4 linked regions of the Saccharomyces cerevisiae S288C genome follow. Changing the gene in region 3 together with the main gene of any one other region gives a genetic interaction. Each region holds a gene or a part of one and is shown on either strand. Other genes may lie near its edges.

Evidence for each region.
Region 1: mutations in TPA1 (region 3) and GYP7 together harm fitness less than expected from each alone (positive genetic interaction), as found in Saccharomyces cerevisiae (2 studies listed by BioGRID).
Region 2: mutations in TPA1 (region 3) and YDR249C together harm fitness more than expected from each alone (negative genetic interaction), as found in Saccharomyces cerevisiae (2 studies listed by BioGRID).
Region 4: mutations in TPA1 (region 3) and MGT1 together harm fitness more than expected from each alone (negative genetic interaction), as found in Saccharomyces cerevisiae (2 studies listed by BioGRID).

What each region holds. Positions count from the first base shown.
Region 1 is NC_001136.10:33,330-38,436, forward strand, and holds GYP7 (GTPase-activating protein GYP7), read right to left. Parts: upstream 3,149-5,107; coding exon 908-3,148; downstream 1-907. Other genes in the region: YPD1 (Ypd1p), read right to left, coding at 86-589; MFG1 (Mfg1p), read left to right, coding at 3,468-4,844. UniProt on the Saccharomyces cerevisiae protein: GTPase-activating protein (GAP) that most effectively accelerates the intrinsic GTPase activity of Ypt/Rab-type GTPase YPT7 involved in vacuole docking and fusion. It is also active, but to a lesser extent, on YPT31, YPT32, YPT1, YPT6 and SEC4.
Region 2 is NC_001136.10:958,050-962,158, forward strand, and holds YDR249C (uncharacterized protein), read right to left. Parts: upstream 1,754-4,109; coding exon 632-1,753; downstream 1-631. Other genes in the region: YDR248C (gluconokinase), read right to left, coding at 1-290; PAM1 (Pam1p), read left to right, coding at 2,565-4,109.
Region 3 is NC_001137.3:249,454-254,347, forward strand, and holds TPA1 (oxidative DNA demethylase), read left to right. Parts: upstream 1-2,274; coding exon 2,275-4,209; downstream 4,210-4,894. Other genes in the region: ISD11 (Isd11p), read left to right, coding at 1,265-1,549; mitochondrial 37S ribosomal protein bS18m RSM18, read right to left, coding at 4,518-4,894. UniProt on the Saccharomyces cerevisiae protein: Prolyl 3,4-dihydroxylase that catalyzes 3,4-dihydroxylation of 'Pro-64' of small ribosomal subunit uS12 (RPS23A and RPS23B), thereby regulating protein translation termination efficiency.
Region 4 is NC_001136.10:99,796-102,923, forward strand, and holds MGT1 (methylated-DNA--protein-cysteine methyltransferase), read right to left. Parts: upstream 1,273-3,128; coding exon 706-1,272; downstream 1-705. Other genes in the region: TRM8 (tRNA (guanine46-N7)-methyltransferase), read left to right, coding at 1-626; YDL199C (uncharacterized protein), read right to left, coding at 1,495-3,128. UniProt on the Saccharomyces cerevisiae protein: Involved in the cellular defense against the biological effects of O6-methylguanine (O6-MeG) and O4-methylthymine (O4-MeT) in DNA. Repairs the methylated nucleobase in DNA by stoichiometrically transferring the methyl group to a cysteine residue in the enzyme.

The sequences.
Region 1 (5,107 bases), on a different chromosome or scaffold from region 3:
TATATATATATATATAATATATATTGTACATGTGTTTTTCCGGGGAAGAATGGATTATCCGGAGGTGTGAATAAAATGATGACGATTATAGGTTTGTGTTGTAATATTTAGATAACTCAATTCTCGCCAGTTTGAACTCCAACCTAGACTGGTTCAAAGCTTTTGCTATCAAGATGAGATATATGGAATTTTCGTCTTTATCGTCCACTTGTATCTTTATTTCCTCGTCATCTTCATCAATATTGATTCCATTAATAATCGATTTATCGCTCAGAGTGTTGACCAATTCGGTCTTGTTGGGGAAGAAATGTTCCATTTTTCTTCCCAAGTTTTGAATTCTTTCACAAACCCAGGCAATTCTTTGTAAGCCTAATGCAGCAGAAGAACCCTTTAAAAAATGGCCCAGATTGTCTAATTCGGTAAGATTTTTTTCACCGTCCAGCTGTCGTTGCATTTGAGCAAAAGTTGTTTGTGCCTGGTCGATAAATTGAATAATTAGACCTTTAGAAAAATCGGAATCATCGTCATCCATAGATATAATTTCATTTAAGATGGTCCAATTGATGATTTCTGAGGGAATAGTAGACATTATTGTGTGTATTTTCTTGTTTCCGAGAACGAGTGTTGTTATTTCTTTTGAATTTTTCAAAGAAATAAAACTATTACACGTCAGTGGTTATCAATGATCCAGAGCACAACTATCGACCAACCCAACCGGTTTAGAAATTAAAAACAATAATGTTCCTAAATATAGGTTCAATTAAATTTGATAAAAATATTAAACTTTTTATGTAATTTTTCTTCAGTTTTTCCGTTTCGGGCGGGTTACGGATGTATTGATGATTATGTGGCATAAACGAATTATATCTCCGGTATTCAATATGTAAAGTTCCGTTTCTATTTACCACTATTTAACGGAATTTTTGCTCCTTTGCCCTTCATGTCTTATGATAGGTTTTTTAGAAAGAAGCAGGGTCAACCTCTCGCTCTGACAAGGCAATACGCCGGTAGAGGATGAGGATGAAGAGGAGGATACGTTTTGTAAATCTCTTTCCATGACGTGCATCATTTTCTCAAACTTCTTGAACAAAAGCTCTGCTCTAACCATTAGGTCATTCCAATCCAACTTCCCGTTAAGTTCATTAAAAAATTTTAATATTTGGTCGAACTGATTTAGATGTTGTAAAATAGCTTGTGAGTTTTTCTGTAGAATGGCCAACATGAAGAATAATTGGAATTGTGAACTGTAGTAGAAAGTCCAGAAATTCTCCCAAATGTGCATAATATCTTCCATTTCAAATTCTCTCTTGAACCATACTAGAAGCATTCGAAAGCAAAAGAACAAGTTTCCTGAATCACACTTGTTTAAATGTTCGCTCAATTCGGGTAGCATTAATTGTACCAATTCCACGAGAGTTAACATTTGTTCATGGATGCCACTCTGGTCTCTTAGAAAATTTCTTTCCATAATGTCCATGAAGTGCGTAAAACACCAAAACGTTTTCCATTCTTCCTTCATGATGACATAAATAGGCGATAAAAGATCGGTCATCCCCTGCACGTAGCCTAAGTTTGTGTTGTAGACATTATAAGTGATAAGAATGTTTTGTAAATGTATCAAATGTGGGTTCCTGACTCCATCGTCTGCATCATCGCTCTCGTCATTAGCGGATTCGGGGCTGGTACTGTTATTTTCATTTGCTGGGAGTTGTTGTGGCGGTGGTGGTAATCCATCGATGGTATTGTATTGAAATATCTCCAAGTTTCTATCACAGCGTCTCACATCTTTAGATATTCTGAATAATTGATCGTTCCAATATTCCTCTTCATCTTCATCGTCAAATTGTAAAAAATCTTTTGACCAGGTTAGTTTCAATTGATCGTATTCCGCGGCTAAAGTTTGATCGATTTGTACCCTCTCGTCTTGAGAAGAATCCCACGGATATATTTCTAAGAGAAAACCCCAAACTTTCCCTCGCAAACTGTCATTTTCTAACCCACCATGAAATATGAAATCCTTAACTTCGTTTACCGTGACCCTCAGCCTCCCATCGTTCTCATCCCATAGCGAATTCCATTTCGCTTCCGTTAAAGGAAATTGTCTTTGCAGAGCATTATTTATTTCAGTATCACTTAATTCATCAGTTAGATTCAGGTCGTTGAAAATGTTATTCCTATACGAATCAAAGAGTTTGTTCTGCTTTTGATACCTCTCAGCTTCCTGTTTTACTCCTAATGACCAGTTTGCCAAATACACTCTTGCAGAGTCATAATCCTGTTCAATTTGTTTAACCTTCTCATTGTTCAGAAGCTTTTGCAAGTATTCATTGTCGATTTGTGATTTTTGTATGGGTGAGTTGTTAGTCAGCCAACTATCGATAAAATTGGTAGACTTGGTAGTCACGTCTGCTATCTTGCTCATTACGTTCCATTTCCATTCTTGGAATTTCTCGTTTAGTTTCACACCGGCGGTAGCGAGTTCAGTTGTATCTTTCTTCGAATTGTTATAACTTTCCAATAGATCCTTGGAAACGAAATTTCTCAAATCATTCAAAGAGGGATTTACTAACCAAAACTCTGGCTCTAAGTTTGATTTCTTGAGTTCCATCAGTTCGTTGATTTTGTTTCTCAAATCTACGCCACCCCAATACAATTCGTCCGAGTCATCAAATGGGTTCATGGATTTGCGTAGTCTTTTTAACTTGTCCGTAGTTGATGGGCAGAGTTGGTCATGAAAGAACAAGACAGGAGGTTGAAAGCCCGTAAACTGTTCTGTCAAGGGATATATTACCAGAGATCCGACATACCAACCATTTGGACTAGGAGGCCTAAATTGGATGCAGTATATTTGTGAGAGAGAAATTTCGAAAGCTTGACCTAAAGAAGTATTGACCAGGTTACTAAAGTTTATTGAATTTTCAATAACAAATGGTGTAGAAGTTGGACATGTGCCCACTTTAGCTTCATGTTTTAGTAGTTTTGATATCTCTAATGTGGATAAGCCAGATTCTGGGATATATTGGAGAATTGCTTGGTGGGATAGCTTATTCGCTTCCAATGTGAGTAGCAGGAAACCAGCAATATTATCTCTAGCATCGCTTGTTGGGTGTAAGAACACTTTAGATTTGCAGAATAGTATCTTACTCATCAGGGGATGTATGAATGACTCTTGTAGAACTTTGCCAATTTGTGCAACCTATATCTGAGAAACTGAATAGTATATTTGAGCACGATAAATTGATTTATATCTGACCAATTTATGGAAAGTTCTTAACTATTTCTTGCAAATGCGCCTCTCTTTATATAGAGCAGAACTTTGCCCCATATAGTATTGTTTAAGCCTCTCGGATTTCTTTTCTCATCTTGTGGGGCTTCCCGCCTGAACTAAAAATATTAACTATGGAGCAATAAAGACAACACTTGACACTGTTCATGGGGCAGAAGGAAAAGCAAAGATTATCTGCAATATGTACCAAGGCCCACCGCAACCGCCTCCTCAAGCTGTGCCGATGCCTTACATTGTGAATAATAACACACCACCGTACCCAAATGGTAATATTAACTTTCCTCCCACCGCGCAGCAGAATATACCGCCCACGGTTTATCCACAACAAGTGCCATTTCCAGGTCAACCACAGGGGGGTCAATTTCCACAGCCTTCATCAGAACAGCAGGTGTTTAACCAGCTTCCACAAGTGACTCAAACTTTTCACAACTCTGCGCAGAATACGAATGCAACTGGGGGCCCTGGCAGCGGGTCTATGCCAATGTTTACGCCGGTAGCATCCTTTCCCCATCCCATGGCTACAGCAGCAACGGCAGCTGCTCCGTTACCACGGTCTGCATCCCAGGCATCTTTATCTATGTTACGGGTGCCGTATCATGTAAGAAAATACTTATCTAATTTGGCGATGTTGAAATTGTACGAAATAATAAATGAGGTGAATACGGCAATGGGTAAGATTGGCCTGCTTTCATTCTGGACAGAATTAATATCAGATATTTTTACACCTGATGCAGTTATAAGGTATAGTAAAAAGTCTATGACAGATTATAGAGAATTCGAATTTATCATCCCAGTGTTCCCAGTTATTTGCTCTACATTAGGCAGATTTGGCATCGTTAGAATGGAAGTTAAGGTTTTACAATTGAAAACACAAGTTCTAAGTAATTCTACGATTTTTTTCAACTGTCCTCGTGTCACATTTGTCTATTATTATCCTGATGGTTCATATATTACACATTTTTCCCAAATGAAAGGTGCTTTCGATTTGGACTTGAAAATTAATTGGCTGGACGTATCTATGCATAGTTTTGTCCCTGATATTGAATGGAATGCAGTGGAACGGCTTTTGAGTGATGACACAAAGTCTACAGAAATTGAACAAATATTCCGTAAATTGAAACAAGAAGATGTCAAAGAGCAAGGGAATTCTTTTGCAGAAAATAATGCTACGAATGTTCCTCCGAATTTTGAGGCCATCACTCAGCTGAGATCATATTTTGACGTATTCAGAAACGTCTCTGTGTTTGGCACTCAAGAAGGGTTGATGAGAGTCATGCAAATAAGTACCGTTATGTCTACTTTGAAAAACCTTCGAAAGTTTCAAATTGAAAAGAACATTGATAGTCCCGTGACCGCCCTAAGTGCGTACATTGACGCCGACAAGAAGGACAGTGGAAGCGAGCCCTTGCACGCAAAGAGGCGACGCAACAGCGGTATCTCTCCTCGCACCACGACGTTGGGGCCAAACGGCAACTCCAATACAAGCAATGAAGAGCTTCCAACAAGTGATGTGAATGATATTAACAAAGACATGACAAAAAAGAAGATGAAGTTTTAAAGAAGGTAATTACCTAACGTCACCCACTGAAATATTAAGAGAATTGCATGAATCTAGCAGAATGGGAATGTGACATGGTAGCAGCAACCGCAAGGTGTGGCATAGATTATAGTAGTGACAAAACTGTACAATTACTATATAGTGAGATATAATACAATGGTTTATTCAAGATATATTAACCCCCGGGTAATGGACCAAATTTGGAAAAGTCTCGGATTCTCATAAAAGCTTAATAAATAAAGAGTATTTCGAAACAAACACGA
Region 2 (4,109 bases), on a different chromosome or scaffold from region 3:
CAAGCAACAATTGACAAATGCTCCTTAGTGCTTGCTGCAGCTTTTGTAGATTCTACGGCAACTTTTTTCAACCAGTCCCAACGGTCGTCGTCATTTAATGGAATCCCTCTTGTCATCTTTTCTACGTTGGCAGGCGGGTGTAAATCATCACCTTCGATGAATTTCAAATCCGGGTATATATCTTTAAATTCATGGATTAGTTCACCTGCAATGGTTGATTTTCCTGTACCTGCAGTACCTGCCAATACAATAACCTTAAATTTCCCCATAGTTTTGTGTTTCTCTGTCATCAACTGCGTTGTCCATCCATACGCTTACTGAGACACTATGAAAGCCTGTTTAGTCTTCGGAAAGCTATTTATTGCTTGCTACTTGAAAACCTTTTGATTATCGATATTTTTTAACGGGACCTTATATAATTATTGCTTGGAAACTAACGGTGTTATAATTTTTGACAAACTAATTAGCGACGTAATGAAAGCAGAAAAACCGCAAGAATATGAGAAAGGGAAAATATCAAAGAAAACAAAATATATTCCTTATATAACACCATCTTTTGTACATAAATGAATTGGCAAGCACATATTGTGCATGCATGCAAGGGGCAGAATCTTAATACTAAGTAATTTAATTATGCAAACATAACCCCGTATTGAGGCCTTCCGCCGCATTTAACGACCAAATCTATGAGTTTTAAATCAGACACCCGCCTTAACAGGTCCCATATAGTGCTATCAGATAAAAGTTCGTTTTCTGTCAATGATGGATTGTAATAATATTTCAGGATAAATTTCTCTATGAGCTGTAATCTTGATCTATTCTGCAAAAAAAACTCAAAGTTCAGACTCCCTAGTGAATCAGCATACGTGAAATATAATAAAAATATTACAGTCGTAAGGGGTTCAATAGACGCTAGTTTTTGCACTGTAGATCCAGAGACGTATAGGATTAAATCTATTGATTCAAATAGAGAAACAAAGGTAAACTTAGGGCTTAGGTCAGTTCCTTGCATATCAATACCTTGAAAAAACCATTCTATAAAAGGGGATATCACATCATATGGATTCTTCAAAGTAAAATGATTACCTAGAGACTTCACACATTCCCTACGTGTTAAAAAAATATGCATATTGTTGTAAAAGTTTTTAGGGAAGTCTTCTTTCGATGTATCTTCAGTGTTCATTGAACACAAGTCTAGCTCTTTAGATGTATCAAAATCGCCATTCTGCATATCTTGATAGTGCTTTCTGGGAAGAAAATGAGAAATATTTTTCAACAGGATAGGATGATGATCTAGTAGTAGTCTAAAAAAAGTTTCATGCTCAAATAATGTAGGGATCACAATATTTCTTGAATAAGCTTTTATATTACTTACGCCAAACTCCAGGGGATCGAAAAGATATTTTTCCCACATGATCTTCGATAATAATGAAAAAGATGGCTTCAAGCAACTATAGAAGAACCTGTTCAAGGTGACCATCGACGGTTCACCCTTTGTGAAAACGAAAATATGTTGAATAATCTCTACAGGTAAATCTTGCAAAGTTAGCTTTTGATGATGCCTAAGTTTCTTCGCAGGAAGCCTGATAGTCCTTTGATCTTCCGATATTGGCCTCTTGGATGAAACCCGGGTCTCTAAGAGATGCACATGGTGCTGCAAGTTTATCGAAGACGATGCATACCGATGCAAAGGAAGTGCATGTTTCTTTCTCTTATCATGACGGCTAGAATATCCTGTCAAAATATAACCCATGGCCACTTATTCTAAAAATACACTGCGTGAAAAAAGCACTGCTTACTTTAACAACATTAGTCCTCTTTAAATATATTTCATTACTCATCGCAAACTGAACAATTCTTGATGCTTAATTCTTACTAGCTGCAAAAAAGACAAGATGAAACGCGGTGTATGGTTGGACGATATAGTCTTATCCTAAATACACACAACATATATTGCGTAATAAAGAGATCTTCCTATCTATAGCACAATTTGAAGTTGAAAAGGCGTATCTAAAATGCTAATACTAAACAAGGCATCATGTTTTTGTCCCATTCACGTAGCACTGGCGATTTGCTTCCATATTCTTCTGTGTACAATAATAGCTTGGGTGGCTTTTTTCACAATGGGCTCTACGCGAAATTGTCGCAGCCCCCTGTTGGCCGTGCTGTGGGCCATTCTCGAGACTAGAATGAAACAGAAATCTACAAACATGAAAAGGTAGAGTAAAGTCGAGTAAGTAGTAGAAAAGAAAAGTGATATTGGCATACACGATAGCGAAGTTGTTCATATCTATTATCACCAGGCCATTCATTAAAAACTTACCGCTAAATTGAAAAAGAGGCGACTGCCAACATACTTGCCCTTTTTTTTTTCGCTATTATTAGTGTCCTTTGATTACAAACTACATCCATTCGAAAAGCTTGTAACCAACACTAAAGTCTGTGATTCTACCCAAATATTTGCTCTCCGTCATTTCTATTCTGTTTGAACTACTGTGCATATATTTTTCTTTTTGTTTCCTACATTTTATTCCCGGCATATCTCGCGATAGGTATATTGAATAATGACATCTGCATTAAGGGTTTTGGTATGCGGAGATCACCCAAATCTCATTCTGTACACATCCAGGTTTCAACATGCCAAAAATATAGAATTTTATCTTGTGAACAACTCAAAAAATGCCAACTACGAGGTTAGTTCACTATTTTATGGGACGGAACGGTTTCAGATTCAAAACCATTTCCAATCGCTCCTAGATTTAGTAGACCTTAATAATGAAAATGGTGGCTTGGTATTCGACTTGATAATAATGAGTGCGTCTTCACTGCAAGAAATCCCGCAGGTATTGAGAGATATAAAACCTATGATGAATAAGACAACAAAGATACTATTTGAAAGTAGCGGGTTTATATATTTGGAGCCATTCATCAAGGCTTCAGTTGATCTTTCGCTGTCAAATATTTTCAGCATTTTCACCGATTATGACATAAGACGGTTGGACAATGGCTCATACAAACAGTTCACGACTGCAAATGCCAAATCCTTTTCTGTTTCGATCGGTCAAACGACATCCGTTCACGAAAACAGCTATTCAAGTGATATTATTCCTATTTTGAATACATTTCAGAAATTGTTCCAAAAACTGTTTCCTAGGGACGTTGTGACTCTTTACGATCATTCTCCCTCCGCTTTCTTGGCAAAAGAATGGGAACTAGCTTTGCCTCAAATATGTTTCGATCCATTATTAATAATATTAGAAGAGAAGAATCCATCAACCTTGGATGACCACGTTTTGGCCAAACCTCTTATTTCAGGTTTACTAGGCGAGAGCTTATTAATAATAAAAAAAATGGGTATAGCCATGAACAATCCAAATTTTCAAAATGAACAGACTATATTGAAACATTGGAAGAATAAGTGCGAAGACTTACCTGATGGGCCGGCACTTTTATATAATTTCATCCATAAGGCTTCATCTTTGAATATTGACTTATTGTTATTACAGCCGATATTATTAGCAGATGACTTTGGCGTGAAGACACCATATTTAGAATGTTTGTTTACAATGATGACTCAATATCAATTGTTAAATAAAGGTGATTCTGAATGGTTTATTAGAAAGGATGAGAACACAGCGTTAACTCGCGTTGATGATTTACAAAACAGTATCGCACTTAAAGATGGAAAAATCATGCAGCTGCAAAATTCGGAATCAACCCTGAAAAATGAGATAAAAGAACTTCAAAGTCAAGTTTTGAGCTTAAAACAAGAAGTGTCCTCAAGTAAAGCAAATAATGGACAAGAGTTGGAAATTTTAAAGAAGAAAGTGCAAATGGGAGACAATTCATTATTTGATCGCCCAAATAGTAATACTAATGGTATATCTCCCTCTGATAACATTGTTGATGTTGATTTAAATTACGAAAGGAGTGACCAAGGTAATAATAGTAGTGGTAATGATAGCAGAAGACAATCTTTTTTCAACTCCACATCTGATACAACATTATCCAGAGATGAAACCTCGTTGAAAGAGCGTGAGTTAGAAGTACGAATGAAGGAATTAGAACTTCAAGAGCGTGAGTTAGAGTTACAGAGAAAAGCCCTCCAG
Region 3 (4,894 bases):
GAAATTCCAATGTCATCTGCTTAGTATTATTAATGTTACCTGAATATTATCACATGCTGCTTAAAAATGTGTTATAAGTATTAAAATCTAGTGAAAGTTGAAATGTAATCTAATAGGATAATGAAACATATGAAACGGAATGAGGAATAATCGTTGTATCACTATGTAGAGATATCGATTTCATTTTGAGGATTCCTATATTCTTGGGGAGAACTTCTACTATATTCTGTATACATGATATAATAGCCTCTCCCAACAATGGAATGCCAACAATTATCGAATTATTCACCAGTTTCTCAGGTATACCTTGTATACCTAATATCTTGTATACCTGATATCATAATGTTCAATAACAGTAAAGTGCTAATAATTATGTATTTTTTTGCCGATTTTTCAATATTTCACCTGTTTATCGGTGTCAAAGTACTACGTTTAGTTTACTGTAGGGTTAGTTGATTTTTTTACGGCTAAATTTATGTTGTATTACGGGCTCGAGTAATACCGGAGTGTCTTGACAATCCTAATATAAACAGTCTTAGGGAAGTAACCAGTTGTCAAAACAGTTTATCAGATTAATTCACGGAATGTTACTTATCTTATATATTATATAAAATATGAATCATATTAAGTGGTGGAAGCGCGGAATCTCGGATCTAAACTAATTGTTCAGGCATTTATACGTTTGGGTAGTTCAGCTAGGGAAGGCCGGGTTTTATCTCATGTTGTTCGTTTTGTTATAAGGTTGTTTCATCTGTGTTTTATGAACGTTTAGGATGACGTATTGTCATACTGACGTATCTCATTTTGAGATACAACAATTTACAGTTGTACTGGTCCTATAGTGTAGTGGTTATCACTTTCGGTTTTGATCCGGACAACCCCGGTTCGAATCCGGGTAGGACCTTTTTTATTCATTTTTACATAATATATGCTGAATATATTGGTTAAAGAGGTTTTTTTAGTTCCCAAATGTCCACAGTAAAGTAGATAAAGCAATAGCTATTTCCATCAAATCCAAACAATATTGTATTACCCACTTATTATTAAACAATGCATTTATTGGAGAAACACCCGCTTTCCGGGTAATAGCAGTCTATTTATTCTCATTCATTTATAAGCGGCGGAGAAAAATGATTGAGGAATTGATATAATTACACAGTAACTTTACGGAGCCTAAGGTAACAAGTGAAGTTTGGATAGCAGTTTTATTCCCATTTTTATCTGCAGTATAGGGAACTTGGAATCACCTTTTGAAAGAAGAGAAATGCCTGGATTTACAGCTCCAACAAGAAGGCAGGTGTTGTCTTTATACAAGGAATTCATCAAGAATGCTAATCAATTCAATAATTACAACTTCAGGGAATACTTTTTAAGTAAAACAAGGACTACTTTCAGAAAGAACATGAATCAGCAAGACCCAAAAGTGTTAATGAACCTATTTAAGGAAGCTAAGAACGACTTAGGTGTCTTGAAAAGACAGTCTGTTATTTCTCAGATGTACACATTTGACAGGCTGGTCGTAGAACCATTGCAAGGAAGAAAACACTAAAACCTGGCCTAACTGGTCATTGCATGTAAGAAAGAACTTTCCAGTAATTTTTTCCTTCTCACGTCAGGAAATTCGTATGGTTATATCTTATAGAGAGGTGGCCGCCTTTAATTTGGAAAAGATATTATTAGATGATATTCCTAATTTTCGACCGATACTTTGCATGGTTGGACTTCAATTAGATCATGTAATTTACTTCCTTAATATCAATAGCATTTCTTTTTTGGTAGAAGATTTTTCTTTTCTTTTCTTTTCTTCAACCCACATGGGACTATAAGAGGAGAGTTTATAGCTTGTATATAAAACGCTATAACTAAAACATAAGCCCACTCTGAGGTGAGATGTCTTTACGGTATGATAACAAGCTGATGCAATGAGAGATCCTATGAATTGCTTGGATTCTTTTACATCAGGCATAAAGTTTCCGAAGTATGCAATAAAATGAGTATTTGCTTATTTATTGTTTGTATCGGGCGATCTTACACCTACTTTATGTGCGTAATAGTTGCATCTTCTTTTTTCGGACCATTCCATCGGATAAACTTCTTAGGTAAAAGTGAAAAAAAAAAAAAATTCGCTTATATATTAATCAAGTCATCACTTGGAAGCCGTTCTCTTCCGTTTACAACACGAAGAGCCAACTGTTTTCTTGTGTCATTCTTTAGCACTCTTTCTTTTTATTTTTACATTTTTTAATTAAGATCACCAAATATACCGGGAATATAATGAAGAGAAAAACTGCTGAAGTTAAAGGTGAGAAGGAGAGAAATTCCAAACAAATTTCCCTCGAAGAGGACAAGATAAAGGGTATGTTCAACCCTAAAATCTGGGACAAGACTTTCCAGGATGGCTTGAAAAAGGAAATTGAAGACTCTCAGCCTTACAACTGGGGTACTATTCATGAATTGGTTAATGACGATCTTCTACGTGCTGTTCGTAAAGAAATAGAAACTGAGATCCATTTCACTAAAAAAGAAACCGATATCTATAGAGTCAACCAAAGTGGTGACTTGGCCAATTTGTCTGGTCTGGACTGGGATGACTTGTCCCGTTTGCCTAATTTGTTCAAGCTGCGCCAGATTCTGTATTCCAAGCAATATCGAGATTTTTTTGGCTACGTCACCAAAGCTGGTAAATTGTCTGGTTCTAAGACCGACATGAGCATCAACACTTACACAAAGGGATGTCACTTGTTGACTCATGATGACGTTATTGGCTCTAGAAGGATTAGTTTCATTTTATACCTACCAGATCCCGACAGAAAATGGAAATCGCATTATGGTGGTGGTCTAAGACTTTTTCCAAGTATTTTACCAAACGTTCCACATTCCGATCCATCTGCTAAACTAGTTCCACAGTTCAATCAAATTGCTTTTTTCAAAGTTTTACCGGGTTTCTCTTTCCACGATGTCGAAGAAGTCAAAGTTGATAAGCACAGATTATCTATTCAAGGATGGTACCATATTCCACAAGTTGGCGAAGAAGGTTACATACCTGGTGAAGAAGAAGCGTGGGTCCGTAACAACACATCCACTTTGGCGCAGATTGAATCTAATGTCCTAGAAGATTTTGAATTTCCAAAGGACGAGAGAAATATTTTATCATTTCATGAAGTGAAGCACTTTGAAAAAATGCTCAAGGGCGATGCTGGCGCAAAAACTGATAACACACCTAAAGAATCTATGACTAGTGTGATTTCTGATTCGGTTAAGTTGTCTGAAGCCGAGTTCACCTATCTATCTCAATACATCTCTCCTGAACATTTAAGCTCGAAAGGTATCGAAAAACTACAAAAGCAGTTTGTTGAGAACTCTTCTCTACAAATTGAGTCGTTTTTAAATGACGATAAATCAGAATTGTTAAAGAAGGTTATCAAACAAAAAGAGTTGGAACAGGAATGTCCTTATCATTCAAAAGATGTGAAAGCTCCGTGGAAAACGGCTATTCCTCCACACAAAGCCCGTTATTTGTACATCGACGGTAAGGAATACCGTAATTTCCAAACAGAAGCTGATATTCTTGAGGCGCTGAATAACAATGATTTGCCAAACTTTCAGTTTACTAAGGACGCAATTAAAATTATCTCCGATGCTTCCGGAAATAGTAGGGAAAACAATTTTGATGCAGAATTAGCGTTGATTGACCTAGCTGTATTTCACAAGAGCACAATTTTCAAGAAATACCTAGCTCTTCTAACTTCTTTGTGCCCAGTCAGTGAGCAAATCCTTATTAGAAGGTTTAGGCCAGGAATGGATTTCACATTGGCCACCAAATGTCGCTTTAATGAACTTTTGAAAAGCAATCCAGATATAATCGATGCTGTCTTGGAAGGTACTTTGTGCTTGACACCTTCTGCCGGTTGGGAATCCGGAGAGCTTGGTGGTTACGAATTGTACATGATGGACGACGACGAAGATAATAAGCAATACTTAAAGGAAGACGTTGAAGACGCTTCTGTTTATCGTGCGGATGACAGTGGTGATTCAGTATTGATTAATGATCCACCTGCTTGGAATACTTTCAATTTGGTCTTGAGAGATGAAAGTGTTTTGGAGTTTGTTAAGTACGTCAGCTGGAGCGCTAAATCTAGTAGATGGGATGTCAAAATGAAGTGGGATGTCAAATCATGTGATGAAGATGGTCAGGAAGATGAAGCGTAAACAATTAACCCGTCTTATTAAGTAAATGGCAGCTTAGATATTTATAAAGTTGTATAATAGAAGTAATAAAATTATTTGAAAAGTTATTCGTCAATTTCAGCTTATTCCTCTGGCGTGAATATCATTACCATAATCCAAATTCGAGTAAGCGAATAAAACGGGTATATTAAAGAAATATAAGAATGAATATAAGTTTAACTTAAGATCTAATTGCGATTCTTTTTACATATTGTATATTTACAGACAGAACTATGAAATGCCTTATTTTCTTAATTATTTCATGTGGAGAAGCATTAGTGTAGTACAGTTCACATTAATCCTATTGCCTGGCACCGTCTAATGGCTTTCGATAGTCTTCTTTGATTCTTTGCCGATAAGCCTGTGATATCCCTATGTTGGATTCTTCCCGTGGAGGTCACATATCTTGAAAGTATTCTTGGTCTTGCATAAAATTCTAGTGGATTTGCACCGGACTTCATTATATCGTTCCTGTTTGAGTTCTTGTTTGCCTGATATTTTCTATCTAAATGGATTCGTCCCATAGAGAAGTCAAATGGATCGTAGATAGTACCTTTGGGAAGTTTTTTGGACAAAGACTGATCGATTTTCTTTGTTTGTTGCGTTCTCCCCATTTCAATATTGACACTCTTCTTTTCTTTGATACCGAAATTGTATAGAGCACGTT
Region 4 (3,128 bases), on a different chromosome or scaffold from region 3:
CCAAATTGTACCCTTACTACAAAAACGCGGAAAATGGACAAATGACAAAGAAGGTGACGATTGCTGATATTGGCTGTGGATTCGGTGGGTTGATGATAGATTTATCACCAGCCTTCCCTGAAGATCTTATCTTAGGGATGGAAATTCGTGTGCAGGTTACAAATTACGTGGAGGATAGAATTATTGCCTTAAGGAACAATACAGCTTCAAAACATGGATTTCAAAACATTAATGTCTTGAGAGGTAACGCTATGAAATTCTTGCCCAACTTTTTTGAAAAGGGCCAGCTTTCTAAAATGTTTTTTTGTTTCCCCGATCCTCATTTCAAACAAAGAAAGCATAAGGCAAGAATTATCACTAACACCTTGCTGAGTGAGTACGCATATGTTTTGAAAGAGGGCGGTGTCGTGTACACAATTACAGACGTCAAAGACCTGCATGAGTGGATGGTAAAACATTTAGAAGAGCATCCTTTATTTGAACGGTTGAGCAAAGAATGGGAAGAAAACGATGAATGTGTGAAAATAATGAGAAATGCCACAGAAGAAGGTAAAAAAGTGGAAAGAAAGAAGGGTGACAAGTTCGTCGCTTGTTTCACAAGATTACCAACGCCAGCCATATTGTAACATAGATGTATAACTAGAACAATTTACCACATATACATAACTATTTCTTATGTTTATTTTCCTAAAATCCTTTATCCAACTACAATCTACTAAGGCTTAAGCTATTTTCCTTTTCATTATTTAATAACTGTTCTTTCAGTTTACAGCTCCATTTATATCCGGTTAATTTTCTATTGCTACCAACGATTCTATGGCAAGGTACTAACAATGCCAGGTTATTTGAGCCGCAAGCTCTTCCGACAGATCTTGCGGCAGTTGGCTTCCCTATTCTCTTTGCAATATCACCATATGTTACGACGTGGCCGTGTTCCACGTTTAAAAGCTCATTCCAAACTTTACGTTGAAAATCTGTTCCAAACAGGAACTCAAAGGGAATAGCGCCCGATGGTAATGGCATTTTGTTTTCTAAACATATTGTATAATTTTCGATTGATTTCTTATATGTTTCTGCCTCTTTTAGTTCCTGTAAATCGTACATTGTATCCTGTTTCTCATGTTTCTTCAAGAAGCCTTCCACCTTTCCCAATAAAAAAAGCTTATCATTACCTAACGAGGCAAAAACAAGGTTTTGAGTCTTTTCCCTAAACACCAAAAATGCACCAGTCACTTCAGTTTCAATGAATGTATAGTAAAGCAGTTCCTTCATCGTTGGTCCATTTAGATCAAAAATGCGACCGTTTTCAATTTTTTTTTTGTGCATATGCTATATCATTACTTGATTAATCTTCCTTGTTTCCACCGCATTTTAAATGCCCTGCCAGGCCAATAGCGCCGTGCCTTTTTTCTAATGACTATAATAAGAATATGTATGTAGGATAAAACTAAACATTTATACTTAGGATGAAGCAAATATTTTTATGAGGCCATACTAGGCAACTGCCATGTCTCCAGGCGAATTCTGGCCTCCACCTGAACTGGGTTTATTCGCAGCAATGTTGTCGCTGATATTTGGATCGGTTCTGTTATGAAAACTGAAAAATTCTCCAGTCCTTGATGGTCCTGAATCAGATGTAATGAAATAAACATTTTGTGCAGAACCGTGTGTCTGGTTCGATAAGTTTCCGTTTTTGGGTAGAATCTGCTCATTTTGAATAGATGAATAGGCTTGATTATTTTGTTTGATACTACTTCCTAGAGTGTTTATCTGATACGCGGAAAAAGATGGTGAGGAGGAGAATTCAGAACCGGTATCGTCAAAAACATCATCATGGTTACCGCTACCGTTTCCGGTAGAATCATCATCAGAATCTAACCTTTCGTCACGGGTTTCTATAGGAAAAATCTTCAGCACAAATATAATGGAAATAAAGGAAGATAAAGATGGAATAAGATAAAACTTCCAAGACAGACGGTCAATAAGTATAGGGGTTATTAAGCTGACGAACCACTTAAAAATCCAATAAAAGTTTGAGACTAGTAGTATCACTGGGGCCTGTGACAAGTGAGGTAGAAGCTCAATGGTCATAACCCATCCTATAGAATCCCAACTGATGAAGTGCGTAAAAAGAAAAACAGCAAATAGTATTGATATATACCTCGTTGTGCTCTTGGGAAACCAGTCTGTAAAAGATATGGTAAATAGCAATGCACACATCACAATCGAACCTAAGAGTACATTCGTTTTCTCTTTACGTTTCCGTAACACCAAGGGAACATATGCTAATATTACGATGCTGTAAATTAAAGCATTAAGCCCCGTTAAATAGATAGATTTTCTTTCTCCTCTCCCCATTTGTTGTAATATTAACGGTGAGTAATACAAGAAAGCATCCACTCCATTTGTTCGTGTGAGAAGTTGGAAACCTATCAACAATTTTATTATTGAAGAAAAATCCTTTAAGATATACGCATATGGATAGGAGTTTTTTTGAAGGTGTGACTTTAATAATATGTCTCGTTTCAGGACCCTAAATTTCAACTGAGTTTGGTTTTCTTCGAAATTTCCATCATCGAAAACATTCGATATTAAAACCAATGCCTCTACGTCGTTCTTTTGCTTCAACAGCCACGAAGGGGACTCTAAAATAAGATAGAACGACATTAGGTTTAGTATTATTCCAAGTGCCACATGTGTTGACAAAGGGTATCTCCATGCAAAGCCCAAATATCTGAAAGCACAATTAATCCATATTCCGAATGAATACGCAATGACACTAGAGACGCATTGAATGGAAATTAATGTCCGTTTTCTTATACAGGGAAGGGGAAACTCGAATTGATAAATTATTACCATAGAAAAGGCAAAGCCCATACCTACTCCGAGTAAGAATCTACCCAGTAGTAAACACCATTGGTTTAGAGCCAAGACCTGAACAATGGCACCCAAAGAGTATATCATTGTGCTTATTTGGAGCATTTTTTTCCTGCTACAAGGCTCCAGGATGCCAGAATAGACAAATAACGACGCCATGAACGCACCCAGATTAACAATGCTCACTATATTGCCCAGCGGAGAAGTAAGTGGGTAATGAAAATACTTCTGGAACGACAAAGTCATAACGT